Saccharomyces cerevisiae S288C: one gene and its partners. The gene in region 1 interacts genetically with each later gene. Each region holds a gene or a part of one and is shown in the gene's direction. Other genes may lie near its edges. The genes, in order: STL1, SFL1, COX23 and SGT2.

The links.
Region 2: mutations in STL1 (region 1) and SFL1 together harm fitness more than expected from each alone (negative genetic interaction), as found in Saccharomyces cerevisiae (2 studies listed by BioGRID).
Region 3: mutations in STL1 (region 1) and COX23 together harm fitness more than expected from each alone (negative genetic interaction), as found in Saccharomyces cerevisiae (2 studies listed by BioGRID).
Region 4: mutations in STL1 (region 1) and SGT2 together harm fitness more than expected from each alone (negative genetic interaction), as found in Saccharomyces cerevisiae (2 studies listed by BioGRID).

What each region holds. Positions count from the first base shown.
Region 1 is NC_001136.10:1,506,297-1,511,677, forward strand, and holds STL1 (glucose-inactivated glycerol proton symporter STL1), read left to right. Parts: upstream 1-1,708; coding exon 1,709-3,418; downstream 3,419-5,381. Other genes in the region: phenylacrylic acid decarboxylase PAD1, read left to right, coding at 4,606-5,334.
Region 2 is NC_001147.6:583,010-589,860, forward strand, and holds SFL1 (Sfl1p), read left to right. Parts: upstream 1-3,971; coding exon 3,972-6,272; downstream 6,273-6,851. Other genes in the region: SIA1 (Sia1p), read right to left, coding at 1-672; RUP1 (Rup1p), read right to left, coding at 1,300-3,315. UniProt on the Saccharomyces cerevisiae protein: Involved in cell surface assembly and regulation of the gene related to flocculation (asexual cell aggregation). Mutations in SFL1 causes constitutive cell aggregation.
Region 3 is NC_001140.6:340,058-344,914, forward strand, and holds COX23 (Cox23p), read left to right. Parts: upstream 1-1,607; coding exon 1,608-2,063; downstream 2,064-4,857. Other genes in the region: ubiquitin-conjugating protein DMA1, read right to left, coding at 52-1,302; protein channel TOM71, read left to right, coding at 2,292-4,211; ORC6 (origin recognition complex subunit 6), read right to left, coding at 4,264-4,857. UniProt on the Saccharomyces cerevisiae protein: Required for the assembly of cytochrome c oxidase.
Region 4 is NC_001147.6:337,568-342,206, reverse strand, and holds SGT2 (Sgt2p), read left to right. Parts: upstream 1-2,228; coding exon 2,229-3,269; downstream 3,270-4,639. Other genes in the region: SLG1 (Slg1p), read left to right, coding at 1-929; ribosome biogenesis protein TSR3, read left to right, coding at 3,586-4,527. UniProt on the Saccharomyces cerevisiae protein: Co-chaperone that binds to the molecular chaperone Hsp70 (SSA1 and SSA2). Regulates Hsp70 ATPase activity. Required for recovery from heat shock.

The sequences.
Region 1 (5,381 bases):
TATTTCTGAGGCAACACCAAAGAAGGGTCCGAGAGTTCTTAGGCAGTAAAAAAGTTACACAGCCTCAGAAGACAGGGATCATGCAGTAAAAAAAAAAGCTCGATAATTTCATCGATCAATTGACCAGCCAATTTATTCTTATACCCTTATTTCTACCGATATAAACAGTTGGATAAACGGACAGGTTGAAGTGCAACGTTATTCAATGGTGACAGTTGCTTCTGGACTAAGAAAGGCTAGACCATGTGCCAGAAGTGCAGAAAAATGAAAGCAGAGAGCAAATAAAAAAACTCGACAAACATCGGAATATCAACCAGACAATAGCAAGTGGACACAATGAAATAAAAATCTCACAGGCAAAAACGCACTTAAGGTGACGTAGATGCGTCCATCATTTAAACACGATACCAACATTATCTGATGTTTCAATGTTGAAAACTGACATTCAAATATTCCGCAACCAGCGGACGAACTGAAGGAGCAGGCGACTACAATGCGCAGGGCGATTGGCGCGGTAACTTTGCCATGATCAAATATTTGTGTAGCGCTTTGTTCACTATCGAACTTTCTAAATGAGTTAAGGAAGAGAAGAAAAACAATATGATACCGCAAATACGTATTCTCACCTAAAATGGCAAGGCAAAGCTTCGCCGAGGAATTCAGCCCGAGAGTAGAAAATTTACTAATGTGGTCTCGCGTGTGAATCAGCAATGATTCTGAAATACTCCTTTTACAACCTTTGCAAAGATAATGTCTTTCAGTCTGATATTACGAGCGACCTAGAACCACTAATCCATATTCTTCATTCAACTTACTCCATTTTCCTTGGCAAACAATGCCCCACAATCATATACGTCATAACTATAAGGGATATGTCTGGAATGCGGCCAAGATAGAATTAAAGGGCTGCAGAACACCACTACTGATACTCATTGCCAAGGCTAGGAGGCACCATCCGTTTCATTTTCTTTGAGGTAAGCCAATCATGAAATAGTATACACATCCATAACGGACGTACGGACGAAATAAGTGCCGTTGTCCCACTATTCCACCGCATTTGGCCCATTTGGCTCACTTTGACTCAACTTGCGTCATTTTAACTGATATGAAGGGTCCGACTTTGTCCTTTTTCGGCCACCGCATACCCCACGGCGATGCCTCCGCTACCTGCATTTGAGTAGCATCTCCGTTTCGCGGGGTATTCGGCGCTACGTCGCCTGTTCGAGCGGCTCTGTTCGTTGCATGAAACTAAAATAAGCGGAAAGTGTCCAGCCATCCACTACGTCAGAAAGAAATAATGGTTGTACACTGTTTCTCGGCTATATACCGTTTTTGGTTGGTTAATCCTCGCCAGGTGCAGCTATTGCGCTTGGCTGCTTCGCGATAGTAGTAATCTGAGAAAGTGCAGATCCCGGTAAGGGAAACACTTTTGGTTCACCTTTGATAGGGCTTTCATTGGGGCATTCGTAACAAAAAGGAAGTAGATAGAGAAATTGAGAAAGCTTAAGTGAGATGTTTTAGCTTCAATTTTGTCCCCTTCAACGCTGCTTGGCCTTAGAGGGTCAGAATTGCAGTTCAGGAGTAGTCACACTCATAGTATATAAACAAGCCCTTTATTGATTTTGAATAATTATTTTGTATACGTGTTCTAGCATACAAGTTAGAATAAATAAAAAATAGAAAAATAGAACATAGAAAGTTTTAGACCATGAAGGATTTAAAATTATCGAATTTCAAAGGCAAATTTATAAGCAGAACCAGTCACTGGGGACTTACGGGTAAGAAGTTGCGGTATTTCATCACTATCGCATCTATGACGGGCTTCTCCCTGTTTGGATACGACCAAGGGTTGATGGCAAGTCTAATTACTGGTAAACAGTTCAACTATGAATTTCCAGCAACCAAAGAAAATGGCGATCATGACAGACACGCAACTGTAGTGCAGGGCGCTACAACCTCCTGTTATGAATTAGGTTGTTTCGCAGGTTCTCTATTCGTTATGTTCTGCGGTGAAAGAATTGGTAGAAAACCATTAATCCTGATGGGTTCCGTAATAACCATCATTGGTGCCGTTATTTCTACATGCGCATTTCGTGGTTACTGGGCATTAGGCCAGTTTATCATCGGAAGAGTCGTCACCGGTGTTGGAACAGGGTTGAATACATCTACTATTCCCGTTTGGCAATCAGAAATGTCAAAAGCTGAAAATAGAGGGTTGCTGGTCAATTTAGAAGGTTCCACAATTGCTTTTGGTACTATGATTGCTTATTGGATTGATTTTGGGTTGTCTTATACCAACAGTTCTGTTCAGTGGAGATTCCCCGTGTCAATGCAAATCGTTTTTGCTCTCTTCCTGCTTGCTTTCATGATTAAACTACCTGAATCGCCACGTTGGCTGATTTCTCAAAGTCGAACAGAAGAAGCTCGCTACTTGGTAGGAACACTAGACGACGCGGATCCAAATGATGAGGAAGTTATAACAGAAGTTGCTATGCTTCACGATGCTGTTAACAGGACCAAACACGAGAAACATTCACTGTCAAGTTTGTTCTCCAGAGGCAGGTCCCAAAATCTTCAGAGGGCTTTGATTGCAGCTTCAACGCAATTTTTCCAGCAATTTACTGGTTGTAACGCTGCCATATACTACTCTACTGTATTATTCAACAAAACAATTAAATTAGACTATAGATTATCAATGATCATAGGTGGGGTCTTCGCAACAATCTACGCCTTATCTACTATTGGTTCATTTTTTCTAATTGAAAAGCTAGGTAGACGTAAGCTGTTTTTATTAGGTGCCACAGGTCAAGCAGTTTCATTCACAATTACATTTGCATGCTTGGTCAAAGAAAATAAAGAAAACGCAAGAGGTGCTGCCGTCGGCTTATTTTTGTTCATTACATTCTTTGGTTTGTCTTTGCTATCATTACCATGGATATACCCACCAGAAATTGCATCAATGAAAGTTCGTGCATCAACAAACGCTTTCTCCACATGTACTAATTGGTTGTGTAACTTTGCGGTTGTCATGTTCACCCCAATATTTATTGGACAGTCCGGTTGGGGTTGCTACTTATTTTTTGCTGTTATGAATTATTTATACATTCCAGTTATCTTCTTTTTCTACCCTGAAACCGCCGGAAGAAGTTTGGAGGAAATCGACATCATCTTTGCTAAAGCATACGAGGATGGCACTCAACCATGGAGAGTTGCTAACCATTTGCCCAAGTTATCCCTACAAGAAGTCGAAGATCATGCCAATGCATTGGGCTCTTATGACGACGAAATGGAAAAAGAGGACTTTGGTGAAGATAGAGTAGAAGACACCTATAACCAAATTAACGGCGATAATTCGTCTAGTTCTTCAAACATCAAAAATGAAGATACAGTGAACGATAAAGCAAATTTTGAGGGTTGATTCACACACAACTCACAAATCATATTTTGTAATTTACTTAAGAAAGCATTTTGCGGGGTTTATATTTGTTCCTTGCCGCACCAATAATATTCATATATTACTACATAACTTTAGTATTTTAACACCAGACGATCTGTCTTTTGAGGAAATATGTCCACTTTCATTTTCTTCCGCTTGCCGGCAATGCCTATAAAAAGCTTATAAAATAGCCCGACTCCGTAGTCTTAATATTTATTTAAGTACAATAATAGTCCCACAAAAATTTTTAAAACATCTTTATTGATAACGTGGACGTGTTATTACATTGGAGCGAATGATGACGGAAGTAGGAAAATCTGAATACTAAGGTGAAGATATTTTAGCAGGGTGCCGCCATGGATGTTCTATGAATGTCTTCCTTCCTTTTCTCTCATGGGACACCGCAAAAACCTGTTCTACCATCATTTAACTGCAACATACAAAAAGCCACCAACTTTCGAACACTGCAAATGGTGCTATTCTCTTTTTGCGGTCTTGCCATGATATTCTTCTTGCAAAAAGGGTTTTAGAGCAAGATTTCAAATTAGCCATGAATATCATGCATCGCTTAGAGCAGTAAGATTTTACCAGAGCTTTACAGGACCTATTTTTCATACGTTATGCACTTCATTCTTCTTGTCGGTTTGATAACAGCAGAATCTAGTTCCTTTAATTTGAACGTTAGCCCGGCAGAAGCCATACCTCGAAAACGCAGCAGCGCTTCATAGGCATATCAAAAACAGGGCAAGGGACACCATACATCACCTAGTGCTGTTACTTATAACCAACTTGACAACGATTGCACAAGAAAAGAGTATATCTGTGAAGACAGCCAAAACGCTTAACATGTTATGACATAAATTGCAGACAAGAAATTGGATGTATTTTACAGACTTTGCATTCCTGTCTGAAAGCCTTTTTACATAAAAATGGTTTCATTAGTAGCACTTCGTATCGTTTTCAAATAATGATGAGATGCTCCAAAAGGAAAGTTGGCACAGAAAAAATGACGCGCCTTTCCTGTTTACCGTTAAACTTCTCAGAAAAAGTATACTCGACCCATTTTTAAGATTGGTGATGGATAGAATTTCATTTAACATAATGCTGCAAATATAGATTGATTTCAATCTACGGAGTCCAACGCATTGAGCAGCTTCAATTGAGTAGATATGCTCCTATTTCCAAGAAGAACTAATATAGCCTTTTTCAAAACAACAGGCATTTTTGCTAATTTTCCTTTGCTAGGTAGAACCATTACAACTTCACCATCTTTCCTTACACATAAACTGTCAAAGGAAGTAACCAGGGCATCAACTTCGCCTCCAAGACCAAAGAGAATTGTTGTCGCAATTACTGGTGCGACTGGTGTTGCACTGGGAATCAGACTTCTACAAGTGCTAAAAGAGTTGAGCGTAGAAACCCATTTGGTGATTTCAAAATGGGGTGCAGCAACAATGAAATATGAAACAGATTGGGAACCGCATGACGTGGCGGCCTTGGCAACCAAGACATACTCTGTTCGTGATGTTTCTGCATGCATTTCGTCCGGATCTTTCCAGCATGATGGTATGATTGTTGTGCCCTGTTCCATGAAATCACTAGCTGCTATTAGAATCGGTTTTACAGAGGATTTAATTACAAGAGCTGCCGATGTTTCGATTAAAGAGAATCGTAAGTTACTACTGGTTACTCGGGAAACCCCTTTATCTTCCATCCATCTTGAAAACATGTTGTCTTTATGCAGGGCAGGTGTTATAATTTTTCCTCCGGTACCTGCGTTTTATACAAGACCCAAGAGCCTTCATGACCTATTAGAACAAAGTGTTGGCAGGATCCTAGACTGCTTTGGCATCCACGCTGACACTTTTCCTCGTTGGGAAGGAATAAAAAGCAAGTAACACTTTTTCTGAGCATTTTATTACGTTACTCAACTACTAATAGAGTT
Region 2 (6,851 bases), on another chromosome or scaffold:
CAAATTAGTTATAGGAGCGTCATTATCATCATCATTAAGGATATACTTACACCATATGCCGCTCCCCTTGTATACCCACTCCTCACCGAACACAGCTATGTTATCTGTATCAACGGATATGCCGAAAAGCAGCTTCCACCATGACGAAGTAGGCTTTTCTCGTAGATACACATGATTGTGAAAGACAGAACTGTCGCTCGATTTCACCAACTTATTAATGTCTCTCAGCACTTGTAGGGGTATTAGTGCTGAGTCCCTTGCTATGGCTAGTTCTTTTATTGTGTTTTTTGGATTACTTTGGAAATCTTTCAGATGAACATATAAGTAACTGTTGTAGAATGGTCCAGACTGAAGTGAATACAATGTCTCTACAGTAATATTCTTAGAAACTCTGGTCCACAGAATGCTGTTTTTGTCTTTGATCTTTTTAGCAGTATTGGAGGGGTGTAATTTCGGGGCATACAAAGAACTACATTGCCTGTACCAATGGTAGCACCGCAGGATTTGAATATCGTCTATCATTCCGCCATGATATTCTGCTACATTATGATCCATTAATACATTTTTTGCATGTAGCTTTAGTGAATCTCTCGATAAATACAATGAAGTAATGCATAATATAAAAAGTATTCTCCTTAAAAAATTAAATCTTCTTCTATAATGTAATCTCATGCAAATATTTGAAGGGTATTGTTTGCGAAGGTCAATGAATGTGATAAGAGCTAATTGTTGGAAAGTAAAATAATCGAAAGGAATGAGAAAAAGGTAAGTTATTTAAATCTCTTTTGGAAATGAAACTAAAGCAACTTGAAAGAAATTTCAAGAAATAATGAAAACCTCGAATTAATCGACAAATGAAGAGTACTGCAGAACCGAAATTGAAAAAAAAGGTCGTAAAGTTGAAATGAATTGAAGTCAGAATTAAAATAGAAGGGGTATTGTTGCGGCTAAAGTAAAATAAAGAAAGGAGAAGTTAGAAAAAGCAACTCAATGATCTTGTGTTCGAGGCTATATTATAATAAGTTTAGGACTTGGCATTATTTCAGATCAAAAGTATAAAAATTAAAACTGTCCTTTATCTGTCAACCTTTTTATTTTTGTTTGATCCTTAGAGTCTAATTTATGTCCGTAAATAGAAGTTTTCGGATTGCGGGCGCAGTTAGCCTCCAAGCGGAGTTTCTATAGTATTGAAAACGTAAACTAGTAACATATATGCGGTTCAAAATTACTAGAGAAAATGAGATCATAGTTTAAAGAGACATACGTTATTTATCTGGCGGAAAGTGTATAGAAATCTATCTAATTATCAGAATCGATGTCATCGTCATTGTCATTATCGTTACCATTGTTAATATTGTTGGTGGCTTGTTCAGGATCTCCCATACCATCGAAAAATTGCGAACGCAATGTTTTTAATGAATTTTGGTCATCCTCAGCAAATTTTAAGCACCCGCTATTGCTTTTCAACGCTTCCGCGACTACTTCTTCCGTGGGAATTTTACCCTCTTCACAGTATATGAACATCAGCGGAGTTTCACTTGCGTACTTCGTGCCATGCTTGATGGCTTCTTGAACGACAGAAGGCGACGAACATTTTTTCACCTTGAATTCTGTTCCCAACGTATTACTTTGTATCCATGACCATGCACCGTTTCTGCTTCTGATAAAGTATGAATATGGCGATAGTGCTGCCATTGTGAGGATGTAGGGATTTTCGATCAGTCCCAATTGCTTTGCAGTGTTGATTATGTGTGTCTCTGGATGTGAAAGGTTCCATTCTCCATGCAGTTTGGACGCCAAGTCCTTATATTCCTCCATTTTAGCGGCTCTCGCAGAATTTAATGTATCTTTCAACGATGCGATCTGCTTTGCTGCTTCATTATTAGCATCGTCAGGAATTGTTTGTAGATACGCCAGCGTCGACTCTAGAATAGTGGATATGTTTTTGCCTTGGTAACTCTTTAACTCGTTGATCTCTTGAAGCAAGCATCTGGATCTGGTCCGCGCTTGCTTTCGTTTAGAAATAATATGTCTTATTAGTTGGTCTTTGCACTGTTTGGTGTAAAGCTGTGGGTAAAACTCAAGCGGTATATCCACGCCATTGGGTAGAGACACTGATTCTGTATTTGTTTCTAGTTCATTGAACAGGATTGTTAATACGGGTGCCACCTCCTTCAAAGTATTCTCCGGTTCCACATATCTCGCCTCTTCTTGCTCGCCACCACGAATCACGTCTTCTTCTTCTTCCTCTTCTTCGGGGTACAATAAAACGTTGAACATTTTATATAGATTAGAATCGTACTCTTCAGGAAGAAAATGAAACAAGGACAAAAACGTCTCCATTGGAGGTTCATTCTTGTTCGGAGTATGCAAAGCAGAAGATATAAAGAGACTTCTTGTTTCCCGGTCTCTGATCCCAGGACACATTTCCAAATCCACTGCCAATGATTTGATAAACGCTGGGAGCACCTCATAAAGATGCTCGGAATCGGCCAGCTTGGACCTCAATTGCGGTTCCAAGGACGACGTAAACACCTTGGCCGAAACAAAGGCTCTTTCACACTTTCGCGTGTTAACCACGGAGATGAGTTTTTGCAACTGCCAGAGCAGATGCGGTTGCAACCCTTCATTAGGTCCGCTGGCCAGCACGATCTCCGACGTAGTGGAACCATCTTCTGCCTCGCAATATGCAAGTCTGTATTTGGGCTCCGTAAACGATGAGCCCTTGAACCAGTCTGCCCTATAGTTCAAATCCTTAAAGTCCGGTTTCAAGAACACGTGTGGGAAATACACGGCCGTGAGCAACGCAAACAGCCCAAAATAGCTCTCAATTAGACTATTCAAGGGTAGCGGCAACACAACCGTAGGATCGCCCACGTTCGACTTGAACTCGTTGTGTTGTACTATACTATAAGAGGGGGGAGGAATGGATGTCTCCGATATAGAATAACGATCGTAGTTCTGAGCAGTAACCCTGCATCCGCTGGTGCTATTAGAACCGCTGCGTTCATCCGTGATGTCTTCATCGTCATCATAATCAACATCGACACCACTCACATCCGGCATATCAATGTCTTGGTCCCCGTTGTTCGGAACATCGCAGGGCTTGGTTCCAGCCACTATTTTGTTCTCAGAAATCCTAGGCTGACTGCCATCATTCTCCTCACCCATTTCCGCTTGCTCCGGCAGCTCGTTCGAAAAGATGAAGTTAACTGCTGCCTCCAAATTACCGCCAGTTCTTTGGAGGGCGTCCACAGCTACTTCGTGTGGAATACCCATTTCTAGCAGTGACTTTACAGCCTGATTATCCATCATCGTAGCTTACTTAACAAAAATCAATTACTTAAGATTCCTTTTACAGGTGACGACTCTCCTTTTCCGGCTTCTTCTCTTCTTTCCTCTACTCCGACAGGTCCTTAAGCCTTGTAGTGAGAAGTACCTTTCAACAATAGTATCTTTTACTTCCGTGCCGGGTCGCCCGGACATCACCCGCCCGGCACAGATGCCTTGGCAGCAAGCGCATCCATCGCTGCATCTCCGCCGGAAAAACAGATGTTCAGTACATGAAAAGACGTTTTTATTCGACATAAACTTTTTCAGCTAGCAAGAAGGATCTCTTTTTAAACACTCTATACAGGTGCACACAAAGGGTTGTTGAAACAGAAACACAAACGCACGGCGAAATAATATTATTTATTCGACTTACGAATTTTTCAAAGAAGTCGTACTGGTGTGAAGTGGAAAGTTTCAAAGATAGTTTGAAAAGCAGGGAAAAAAGAACATAGTGAACCTTCATCGCCACAGTGACAGGTTCAAGGAAAAAATTCACACACACACACATACGCATACGCACACAAAGCACTCAGCTCTATATACATAACAAAGAATATTGTAATTCGACACTATTTGGTACATTCAGAGGGTCCTAAGACAGCACAAATCAGTTATATAGAAAAAAAGAAGAAAAAATCATGAGTGAAGAGGAAACGGTCTCAGCCCCAGCTCCAGCTTCTACACCGGCCCCGGCTGGAACCGATGTAGGTAGTGGTGGAGCAGCAGCTGGAATAGCTAATGCTGGTGCTGAAGGCGGCGACGGTGCCGAGGATGTTAAGAAACATGGGTCGAAGATGCTAGTGGGGCCCAGGCCGCCACAAAATGCGATATTCATCCATAAGCTATACCAGATTCTGGAGGACGAATCGCTACACGACTTGATATGGTGGACCCCTTCGGGCTTATCCTTCATGATTAAGCCTGTGGAACGGTTTAGTAAGGCTTTGGCTACATATTTCAAGCATACTAATATCACGAGCTTTGTAAGACAGTTGAACATTTACGGCTTTCACAAGGTGTCGCATGATCATAGCAGCAACGACGCTAATAGTGGCGACGACGCCAATACTAATGATGACAGCAATACTCACGATGATAATAGTGGCAACAAAAACAGTAGTGGCGACGAAAATACCGGTGGCGGTGTCCAAGAAAAGGAGAAAAGTAACCCCACTAAAATCTGGGAATTTAAGCATAGTTCTGGTATTTTCAAGAAAGGTGACATTGAGGGACTCAAACACATTAAGAGAAGAGCTTCTTCCCGTAATAACTCCTCAATTAACAGTCGAAAGAATTCTAGTAATCAAAACTACGATATAGATTCCGGTGCAAGAGTAAGACCCTCTTCGATTCAAGACCCGTCCACCAGTTCCAATTCCTTTGGTAATTTCGTTCCGCAAATTCCGGGCGCCAATAACTCTATCCCCGAGTACTTTAATAACTCTCATGTAACTTACGAAAACGCAAACCATGCCCCGCTGGAATCCAATAACCCGGAAATGCAAGAGCAAAACAGACCTCCGAACTTTCAAGATGAAACACTGAAACATTTGAAAGAAATAAATTTTGATATGGTTAAGATTATAGAGTCTATGCAGCATTTCATATCTTTGCAACACAGTTTTTGTTCACAGAGTTTCACCTTCAAGAATGTGAGCAAGAAAAAATCGGAAAATATCGTGAAGGATCACCAAAAGCAACTTCAGGCATTCGAAAGCGATATGTTAACTTTCAAACAGCACGTCATGTCGAGGGCCCACCGTACAATAGATTCTCTTTGTGCTGTAAATGCTGCCGCTACCGCTGCCTCTGTCGCCCCTGCACCCGCGCCCACATCCACATCTGCATATGCACCCAAATCTCAGTATGAGATGATGGTTCCTCCAGGGAACCAGTATGTCCCGCAGAAATCTTCCTCGACCACGAACATCCCTTCGAGATTCAACACGGCTTCAGTGCCGCCCTCGCAACTTTTTGTACAATACCAACCGCAGTCGCAACAACATGTGACTTATGCGAAGCAACCGGCACATGTACCAAACTTTATCAATCAGCCGATACCCATCCAACAACTACCTCCACAATATGCAGACACTTTTAGCACTCCACAAATGATGCACAATCCTTTTGCCTCGAAAAATAACAACAAACCGGGCAACACGAAGAGGACCAATAGTGTTCTCATGGACCCGCTGACTCCCGCAGCGAGTGTTGGAGTTCAGGGTCCACTAAACTATCCTATCATGAATATTAATCCTTCTGTCCGTGACTACAACAAGCCTGTCCCTCAAAATATGGCTCCGAGTCCAATATATCCTATTAATGAACCAACAACGAGATTGTATTCTCAACCAAAAATGAGAAGTCTCGGGTCTACAAGCTCTTTGCCCAACGATAGAAGAAACAGTCCTCTGAAGCTGACACCGAGATCATCGTTGAATGAAGATAGTCTGTATCCCAAACCTAGAAACTCTCTCAAATCCAGTATTTCGGGCACGTCTTTATCCTCCTCTTTTACACTAGTTGCCAACAATCCAGCCCCAATTCGGTACTCTCAGCAGGGATTGCTTCGCTCATTAAACAAAGCTGCTAATTGTGCTCCAGATTCGGTAACTCCATTAGACTCGTCTGTCTTGACGGGCCCTCCTCCAAAAAACATGGACAATCTTCCTGCTGTTTCTTCAAATTTAATAAACTCCCCCATGAACGTCGAGCACAGCTCAAGCCTATCACAAGCAGAACCTGCACCACAAATAGAACTACCGCAGCCATCTTTGCCCACAACGAGCACCACTAAGAATACTGGCGAGGCTGACAATAGTAAGAGAAAAGGGAGCGGTGTTTATTCTTTACTGAATCAAGAGGATAGCAGCACGTCCAGTGCTGATCCTAAAACTGAAGATAAGGCCGCTCCGGCACTCAAAAAGGTTAAGATGTGATCTTTGCCTTTTTAATCTCTAGTTGTCTAAAAGTTCAAAGCACCTCACTGTATGTTTATTACCTTTGTTCCAATTACTTTTGTTTCAATTACTTTTGTTTCATTTCATTTTAGGTATCCCAACGGGTAATCATTGTTATTTATTTTATTCACTTTTTTTTCTTTTCCTCCTGATCCTTGTGATTATAACTATATTTTTACCAACTCCGGTAGTTGTTTTATTAAGTTTTCATCACACTAAATTGTATTTTCCACTTTCATTTCCACCTTCCTTTCCCCTACCTCCCTTCAATTCGTATCATAATACCGCCCGTTCTTTCTAGTATATCACAGAATAGCTACGGGGTATTGTCTCATAAACAGAAAAATGCACCTTTCGATAAACTTCCTGTACAATAATTCTATAAGTATATATGTATGTTTGCTATTAAACAACCATCACAAAAAGACACCTTATTCTTTATGGACGCCTTCAAGTTGTGCTCCTATTCTGTAGTTGTTGCACCATGCATGTTACCATCATAGCCGTCTAAGCGGGACTATTTCCTTTTGTTAACACCTATACTAATTAAACAGCTGG
Region 3 (4,857 bases), on another chromosome or scaffold:
TTATATATATATATATATATATATATATATATAGCACAAAATTTCATGTGATCAATCTACTAGGCGAACACCTAAATTGTTATTTATTTCCATGTCTATATCCATTTCAATGTCTGGCTCATCTTCGTCCTCGTTTTCGAATTCGGATTCAGATTCGGATTCCAAGGTAGTCTCCAAATCACAGTTTGTCCTACAGTTCGGACACATGAATTGAGGATAATTCATAATAACCAATCTTCTTACACAATGAAAATGCCAACTATGGGCACATGGTGATATAAAAATGGCTTGGCAAGGTTTTATTTTGTTTAGACAAATGGAACAGTCTTCTTGTTCTAAACCAGTAGTTAGTTTCTGTAGATTTTTTATTCGGCTCAAGGCTTCTTTATTAAATGCATTGGCCTTTAATTTCCAAGACTTGTTCAATTCTATTTTCATCTTAACACAACGATATATCTCTTCCGTCCCGCCGCGAAAGTCCATACCCAGCTGTATGATATCTCCGTCATGTAAAAGGTAGTCCTTAGAAGTGGTAGACGCAGAAGATAGACGCTGGTGGTTCAAAAAGGTCCCACTGGAAGACTTGACATCTTTCAAAAACCAGTTTCCTTGGTCATCAACTTTGAAACACCCATGGGTCCTGGATATCACTTTTGATTTGAACACTACGGGATGATACTGATCTGGAATTTTGGAAATTGCCTCTCTTACTCTTTCGGTGTATCTTCCGATGATAATTTGCGAGCCTGCGCCCGCAGTCCTGATAATGGGGTCAAAGAAAAGACCCTGGTTAGCCACAGACGTGGATGAAGTATCTATAAACGGGGTTAGCCTAATGCTGAAAAGCCCGTGCTTGTCCATTCTGCGTTTCAAAGTAGATTGGTCTATCCGTTCCGGTAGCGAGGTATTTGGTGGGAGATGTATATCAAGTGAAAACTCCGTCTGATTGACTTGGTTTGGAGGATATATGAAATGGCGGATACTCTTTGTAGTGTTCACCGCGGGGGCTGTATTCGTCTCCACAGTGGCAGCAGCAGCAGCAGTAGCACCAACATTGCCGTTTGCGCTACCGTTATTTGCAACGACTAAAGAAGTAGCCGTACGCGAGGGCAAAATACCTAAACCATTGCTAACGCTATTATTATTGCTGTTATTGTTAGGCGTATCGTTAATGGTGAGAGAGATGGATATCGGTAGTCTGATGGGATTGTTGAACTTGGTGTGATCGTGAGAGGTAGCGATGCCAGAAGCAGCAGGTGGCGTCTGGTTTGGGGGAGATGAGGGAACAGTATTAGTAGACATCCAGGAATAACCACTATACAGAACGTATGTGCACAGGAAATCGACACTGTAAGAAGAAAAGCTCACGGCACAAGAGTCAGAAACAGGGCAGTGAACAAAGAACGAGAAGTACGGTTTACAGTTGAGCCGTACACCGAGTTCCTCTTTGAATAATATCGAACCTATACACTAATGCACTAATGTGTTTCTGTTCACACCCAGAATTCTAAGGCTCCTGCTGATCCCAATGCTAAGGTTTATCAATTTTCTCATTCTCTTTGTGGGCCGTAAACAGTGATATTCTCTCACGAGAGCGCTTAAAGAGAATGGAGAAGCCCAGCCCCACCAGGCGGCAAACTAGTAGTCTCTCCACTATCTCCAACGGTATGACCATGACCAACGATAATAGGGATACCACAAATACCAACAGTGGCTCTACAAGCAGCAACAATTCACAACCATCTTCGTCTTCCACGCCACCAGCGGCCAGTGGACCCGTAACGGACAGAACCAAAGTCAACTATGTACCAAAGAGCGACGATCCGTCGTCATTTCAATACTACCCAGACGACCCGGAGAACCCGGTCAATAAGTATAAATTCGCGTTAAAGGCTGACAGTCAGTACTATGATCCTTGTGAGGAGTCCTCCAAGCTCAGTTTTCAGTGCCTCGAGCGCAACGATTACGACCGATCCAAGTGCCAAGAATATTTTGACGCATACCGCGAATGCAAGAAACAATGGCTGACAGCCAGGAGGAAAAACAGACAGCAGTGGGAATGAGGCAGCCTTTTCTTCTTGTTTGTTCAGCTGTGATCTGTTTTCTATATAGATCGCCACTACGCGACGTAGTGTTCCGACAGGCAGCCACAGCACACTCTAGTGCAATGTGAAAAACTAATTCGCAATGGTATGTAAATAAGCAAGCTAAATTGGATTTTCAAAGTGCGAATAAAGAATTTTTTGTATATATCTCTACATACTTGTATATACCGAACATAAGAAGCTCTTATGGCCGAAAACTCCCTCCTGAGGTTTATCACCAAGAACAAAGTGGCCATCCTAGCAACGGTCTCTGCGGGGACTGCTGCTGTGGGTGCTTATGTTTACTACCAGCAAATTAAGCAGCAGCAACAGCAGCAATTGAAGGGTACAAAAGACAACCGACGTCAAAGTGAGGCCTTTGCTGGTCAAAATGAAGACGAGGCGGACTTAAAGGACGACGGCAGCGTCGTAAGTGGAAGTAATAAGAGGAAGAAGAAGAAGAATAAACGCAAGAGGAACAATAAGGCAAAATCGGGAGAAGGGTTTGACTATCCCTCCTTGCCCAATGGCGAGCCTGATATTGCCCAATTGAAAGGCCTATCACCCTCCCAGAGACAAGCGTATGCCGTGCAACTGAAGAACAGAGGTAACCACTTCTTCACTGCTAAGAATTTTAATGAGGCCATCAAATACTACCAGTATGCCATTGAGCTGGACCCGAATGAACCAGTGTTCTATTCCAACATATCTGCTTGTTACATTTCTACGGGCGACTTAGAGAAGGTTATAGAGTTCACTACAAAGGCACTTGAGATAAAACCTGACCATTCTAAAGCCTTGCTGAGACGTGCATCTGCCAACGAGTCACTGGGCAACTTCACTGATGCTATGTTTGATCTATCTGTTTTGTCATTGAATGGTGACTTTGATGGAGCCTCCATTGAACCTATGCTGGAAAGAAATTTAAATAAGCAAGCAATGAAAGTACTAAATGAAAACCTATCGAAGGATGAAGGCAGAGGCTCGCAGGTTTTGCCGTCTAACACATCTCTGGCGTCATTTTTTGGGATTTTTGACTCTCACTTAGAAGTTTCTAGTGTGAACACCAGTTCAAACTACGATACTGCATACGCTCTATTGTCAGATGCTTTGCAAAGACTATATTCTGCAACAGATGAAGGTTACTTAGTAGCAAACGATCTTTTAACAAAGTCCACTGACATGTACCACTCTCTACTTTCTGCAAATACAGTGGACGATCCTTTAAGAGAGAATGCTGCCTTGGCATTGTGCTACACGGGTATTTTCCATTTCTTAAAAAATAACCTGTTAGATGCCCAAGTTCTTTTACAAGAATCTATAAACCTGCATCCAACACCAAATTCGTACATATTTTTGGCATTGACCTTGGCCGATAAAGAAAACTCTCAAGAATTTTTCAAATTTTTCCAAAAAGCTGTTGATCTAAACCCTGAGTATCCGCCAACCTATTACCACCGTGGGCAGATGTATTTTATTCTACAAGATTATAAAAATGCCAAGGAAGATTTCCAAAAGGCCCAAAGCTTGAACCCTGAAAATGTTTATCCCTACATTCAATTAGCCTGTTTGTTGTACAAGCAAGGTAAATTTACCGAATCTGAAGCTTTTTTCAATGAAACAAAGTTGAAGTTTCCTACCTTACCTGAGGTGCCCACCTTTTTCGCTGAAATCTTGACAGATAGGGGCGATTTTGATACTGCAATTAAACAATATGATATTGCTAAAAGGTTGGAAGAAGTGCAAGAAAAAATACATGTGGGTATAGGACCCTTGATTGGGAAAGCAACTATATTAGCTAGACAATCCTCTCAAGATCCAACCCAGTTGGATGAAGAGAAATTCAACGCAGCCATTAAGCTGCTGACAAAAGCCTGTGAATTAGATCCACGATCTGAACAAGCGAAGATCGGGTTAGCACAACTAAAATTACAAATGGAAAAAATTGACGAGGCCATAGAATTGTTTGAAGATTCTGCAATTTTAGCAAGAACTATGGATGAAAAACTTCAAGCTACTACCTTCGCGGAAGCTGCAAAGATACAAAAGCGTTTGAGGGCTGATCCAATCATAAGTGCAAAGATGGAGCTAACATTAGCTCGTTATAGGGCTAAAGGCATGCTTTAGAAGATATGTCAGGTATTGGTCAAATATATACTTTTAGTTAATACTGGATATGTTATAAAGGTTCTGTTAATGCCAAATCCATTTCAATTCTTTTCTTCCAAATATTGTACTGGTCGTCTGTGACCAAAATATTGGTGGTTTGTAACATCGATCCCAGTTTCCTAAATATAATTTCATCGTATCTGATGCCATCAAAATCATCATACCTAATTTGCAAATCTCTGAACCATTTTTCACCGATAATTAATTCCTTCACTAATTTTACACATTCAATAACATCATCCACTTTTGACGTCAACATCAAGCTGCACATCTTACTGACTATAAAATGGTCAATTCTTGGATCCTTGCGTCTTCTTTCATTAAATACAATGAATGTACAATTTAATACTAACCCACACACTAATTGCCATGGGCAAACCAATCTTGACGCGTTTATGTTGTACTCATCCACAATTTTATATGCTACTTCTCTTGGTAATTCAAAATCGTTGCAAAGCCGTATTATTTCTTCAGTAGTCATTTTGCAATACTTCTTTACTAACAAAGAATTTGGTATTCTGCCCCTTTTCCTCAGGGCTTTTGCCGTCTTCAATTCTGATTGCGGTTTTCCAACTGCCTTATTTTGTTTCGTTCTCCCGCTTCT
Region 4 (4,639 bases), on another chromosome or scaffold:
ATTGTGGTGATACTAATCCATCTGGTTCGGAATCTACTTCCTCTTCATGTAATACGTATTGCTTTGGTTACAGCAGTGAGATGTGTGGTGGTGAAGATGCCTATTCTGTGTACCAACTTGACTCTGACACAAATAGCAATAGCATAAGCAGCTCAGATTCAAGTACGGAGTCTACTTCTGCGTCGTCTTCCACAACTTCTTCAACAACGTCCTCCACAACATCAACTACATCATCGACTACATCATCAACTACATCATCAATGGCGTCTTCCTCTACAGTACAGAATTCCCCCGAGTCAACTCAAGCAGCTGCCTCTATTTCAACGTCACAGAGTTCGAGCACTGTAACGTCAGAAAGCTCGCTAACTTCGGATACTTTGGCAACGAGCAGTACTAGCTCTCAATCACAGGACGCCACTTCGATAATCTATTCCACTACTTTTCACACTGAGGGCGGTTCCACAATTTTTGTCACGAACACCATCACGGCAAGTGCACAGAATTCAGGATCGGCCACAGGTACAGCTGGATCTGACTCTACGAGTGGAAGTAAAACTCATAAAAAGAAAGCCAATGTAGGGGCAATTGTAGGCGGCGTTGTAGGTGGTGTAGTGGGAGCCGTAGCCATTGCTCTTTGTATCTTGTTGATTGTCAGACACATTAATATGAAGCGGGAACAAGACAGGATGGAAAAGGAATACCAAGAGGCGATAAAACCAGTTGAGTACCCTGATAAACTATACGCCTCTTCATTTTCATCTAATCACGGGCCCTCTTCAGGTAGCTTCGAGGAGGAGCACACCAAAGGGCAAACTGATATTAACCCTTTCGACGACTCAAGGAGAATAAGTAACGGAACATTCATAAATGGCGGACCAGGAGGGAAAAACAACGTTTTAACAGTGGTCAATCCAGACGAAGCTGATTGAAGAAACCCAAAAAAAATTATTATATTCTTAAACTATTGCCAAGCAAGTCTTGTTCCTTCCCATTAATTTTTTCTTTTTCCGATTTCATTTTGCCAAATCATCTCCATTTTCACATTATGATGATCCTCTAAAAATTCATACATTTCGAATTTGAGAGCTGGAGAGCTGGAAGTAACGAGGAACATTAAATAGGAACAACAAAATTAGATTAGTTATTTTTTTTTCTACTCATTAATTTTTTTATGATATATTTGAATACCAACCTTAACTTAGTTACATAGATTTAACAAACATTAAACATGTTAATTCTTTGAAATGAATACCACCTAATAAAACTATACATTTTCAAAATAACAAATTGTTATGAAACTAATAGCTAATTATCTTCTAGTGACAATAACCACTTTACTAGAAATTATTAAAAAAATACCGCGTTGAAAGACGATATAAAGTAGGAGATTAATAAATTTATATTCATATTTTCTTCAATCTAATGAAATTGAAGCGCAAGGATTGATTATGTGATAGGATGCGTGAGTAGTAATGCATGAAAAAGGAGGAAGACGTGATTATAATATATGATGTAAAATTTTGATTCCATTTTGCGGATTCCTGTATCCTCGAGGAAAGACCTCTGGCATATTATATAGGGATATTATTCCTTTACAAAAAATGGAATGAAAGAATCAAAACAAAATTGTCATGTTTGCACAATTGCGTATACCATTGCATATAATTATGTCGAAAATCATCAATATGTATGGGAATGATCATTCCATTTTTTTCACACTGGCATAATAATTTGAATATAATAATAATGGATGATGGGCATTATTGGGAAATAAAACTATGAAATTTGCTTTTAGTACGTGTATCGATAAATATCTCTAATTTTCTCAAGATCTGTTCCTCGTGGCCCAATGGTCACGGCGTCTGGCTACGAACCAGAAGATTCCAGGTTCAAGTCCTGGCGGGGAAGATTTTTTTTAACATTGAATAGAAATTACAAAGGTCTTTTATGCTATTTTAAAGGGCTATAGGCGGCATAATATTTGCTTTTAACCTTATTGTCATGACATTCTAATCACAACACTTAGCCCTTCTTTTGTATTTTTCCAAACTTTTTCAAGTCTTAAAATTTTCCCAATCGAAAAAAATGGAAGATCCGAGAAGGTTTTATTGCCCTACGCTTAATCCCAAATTTTGCCACCATATAAAATGAGTACGAGCGATATAATCGGACAACTGAATAGAAGCTTCTGACCAAGTGATATCTTATTAATACAAATCTACTGTACGATGTCAGCATCAAAAGAAGAAATTGCTGCCCTTATTGTAAACTACTTTTCTTCCATTGTGGAAAAGAAAGAAATTTCAGAAGATGGCGCCGATTCTTTAAATGTTGCTATGGACTGTATCTCTGAAGCCTTTGGCTTTGAAAGAGAAGCTGTTTCAGGCATTTTAGGCAAGTCTGAATTCAAGGGTCAACATCTTGCTGATATATTAAATTCTGCGTCAAGAGTTCCAGAATCGAATAAGAAAGACGATGCTGAGAATGTCGAGATTAATATTCCAGAAGATGATGCGGAAACTAAAGCCAAAGCTGAGGACTTGAAAATGCAAGGTAATAAAGCAATGGCCAACAAGGATTACGAACTGGCAATCAATAAATATACTGAAGCCATTAAAGTTTTACCAACGAATGCTATTTATTACGCCAATAGAGCGGCTGCTCATTCATCCCTGAAAGAATATGATCAAGCGGTCAAAGACGCTGAATCTGCAATTTCTATTGACCCATCTTATTTCAGAGGCTACTCTAGATTGGGTTTTGCTAAATATGCGCAAGGTAAACCCGAAGAAGCCCTTGAAGCATACAAAAAGGTTCTTGATATAGAGGGCGATAATGCAACAGAAGCTATGAAAAGGGATTATGAAAGTGCCAAGAAGAAGGTTGAGCAATCTTTGAATCTGGAGAAAACCGTTCCAGAACAGTCAAGGGATGCTGATGTCGATGCAAGTCAGGGTGCTAGTGCGGGTGGATTGCCAGATCTTGGTTCTTTATTAGGAGGTGGTCTTGGAGGTTTAATGAACAACCCACAATTGATGCAGGCTGCGCAAAAAATGATGAGCAATCCAGGTGCAATGCAGAATATTCAAAAAATGATGCAAGATCCAAGTATCAGACAGATGGCTGAAGGCTTTGCTTCAGGCGGAGGAACTCCAAATTTGTCTGACTTGATGAATAACCCAGCACTCAGAAACATGGCAGGCAATCTTTTTGGTGGAGCAGGTGCCCAATCTACAGATGAAACACCAGACAATGAGAACAAGCAATAGTGGACTGAAATAAGCCTTTAATGCAATACATGTTATGTAGATACAAATATAGCTCTATCTAGGATGAGTGTTACCAGGAATTTTATTTTTACTTTGAGATCACTTGCGAAATACTTAAATAGGGACTGTAGTTTACTTTTTCTTTTTTTCAGGTAAATTCGTCGATTTTCGGAGAAGACTAGAAAATATAATGTGATGAGAAACTACATAAAAAAATTTTTACTAGTAAATGTCTATTTGAAATACTTTATCGAAAAGCTTTTTATGTAAATCTGTATAGAACTTCTCGCGTAAGACAGTTGAGTAAGCAGTAACAATGGGAAAAGGTAAAAATAAGATGCACGAACCCAAAAATGGAAGACCACAGAGAGGCGCTAATGGGCACAGTTCCAGGCAAAACCATAGGCGCATGGAAATGAAGTACGATAATTCAGAAAAAATGAAGTTTCCTGTTAAACTGGCTATGTGGGATTTTGATCATTGCGATCCAAAGAGATGCAGTGGTAAAAAACTTGAAAGGTTGGGCTTAATTAAATCATTGAGAGTTGGACAGAAATTTCAAGGTATTGTCGTTTCGCCAAACGGCAAAGGTGTTGTTTGCCCTGATGATCTAGAAATTGTCGAACAACACGGCGCTTCGGTGGTCGAGTGTTCTTGGGCACGTTTAGAAGAGGTACCCTTCAATAAAATAGGCGGTAAGCACGAAAGGCTGCTGCCGTATTTAGTGGCCGCTAATCAAGTAAATTACGGGAGACCATGGAGGCTCAATTGCGTTGAGGCATTAGCGGCTTGTTTTGCTATCGTCGGGAGAATGGATTGGGCCAGTGAATTGTTATCACACTTCTCGTGGGGAATGGGATTTTTAGAATTAAACAAAGAATTGCTTGAAATCTATCAGCAGTGCACTGACTGCGACTCTGTAAAGAGGGCTGAAGAGGAATGGTTGCAAAAATTAGAAAAGGAAACTCAAGAACGAAAATCCCGAGCTAAAGAAGAAGATATATGGATGATGGGTAACATAAATAGAAGGGGTAATGGTTCGCAATCTGACACATCAGAGAGTGAGGAAAACTCAGAACAATCTGATTTGGAAGGCAATAATCAATGTATTGAATATGACTCTTTAGGTAATGCTATTCGTATAGATAACATGAAAAGCAGGGAAGCGCAATCTGAGGAATCAGAAGACGAGGAAAGTGGTTCAAAAGAAAATGGAGAGCCTTTAAGTTATGACCCCTTAGGCAATTTAATTCGATAGGTGATTAAATAGGCTGAAATCAGTGTTTAGTAACTACGTACGTTGTACATGTAACATTGTGATATAAATCGTAAGATTCGCCGAGTATAGATCAATAATATCGGTTTCATCA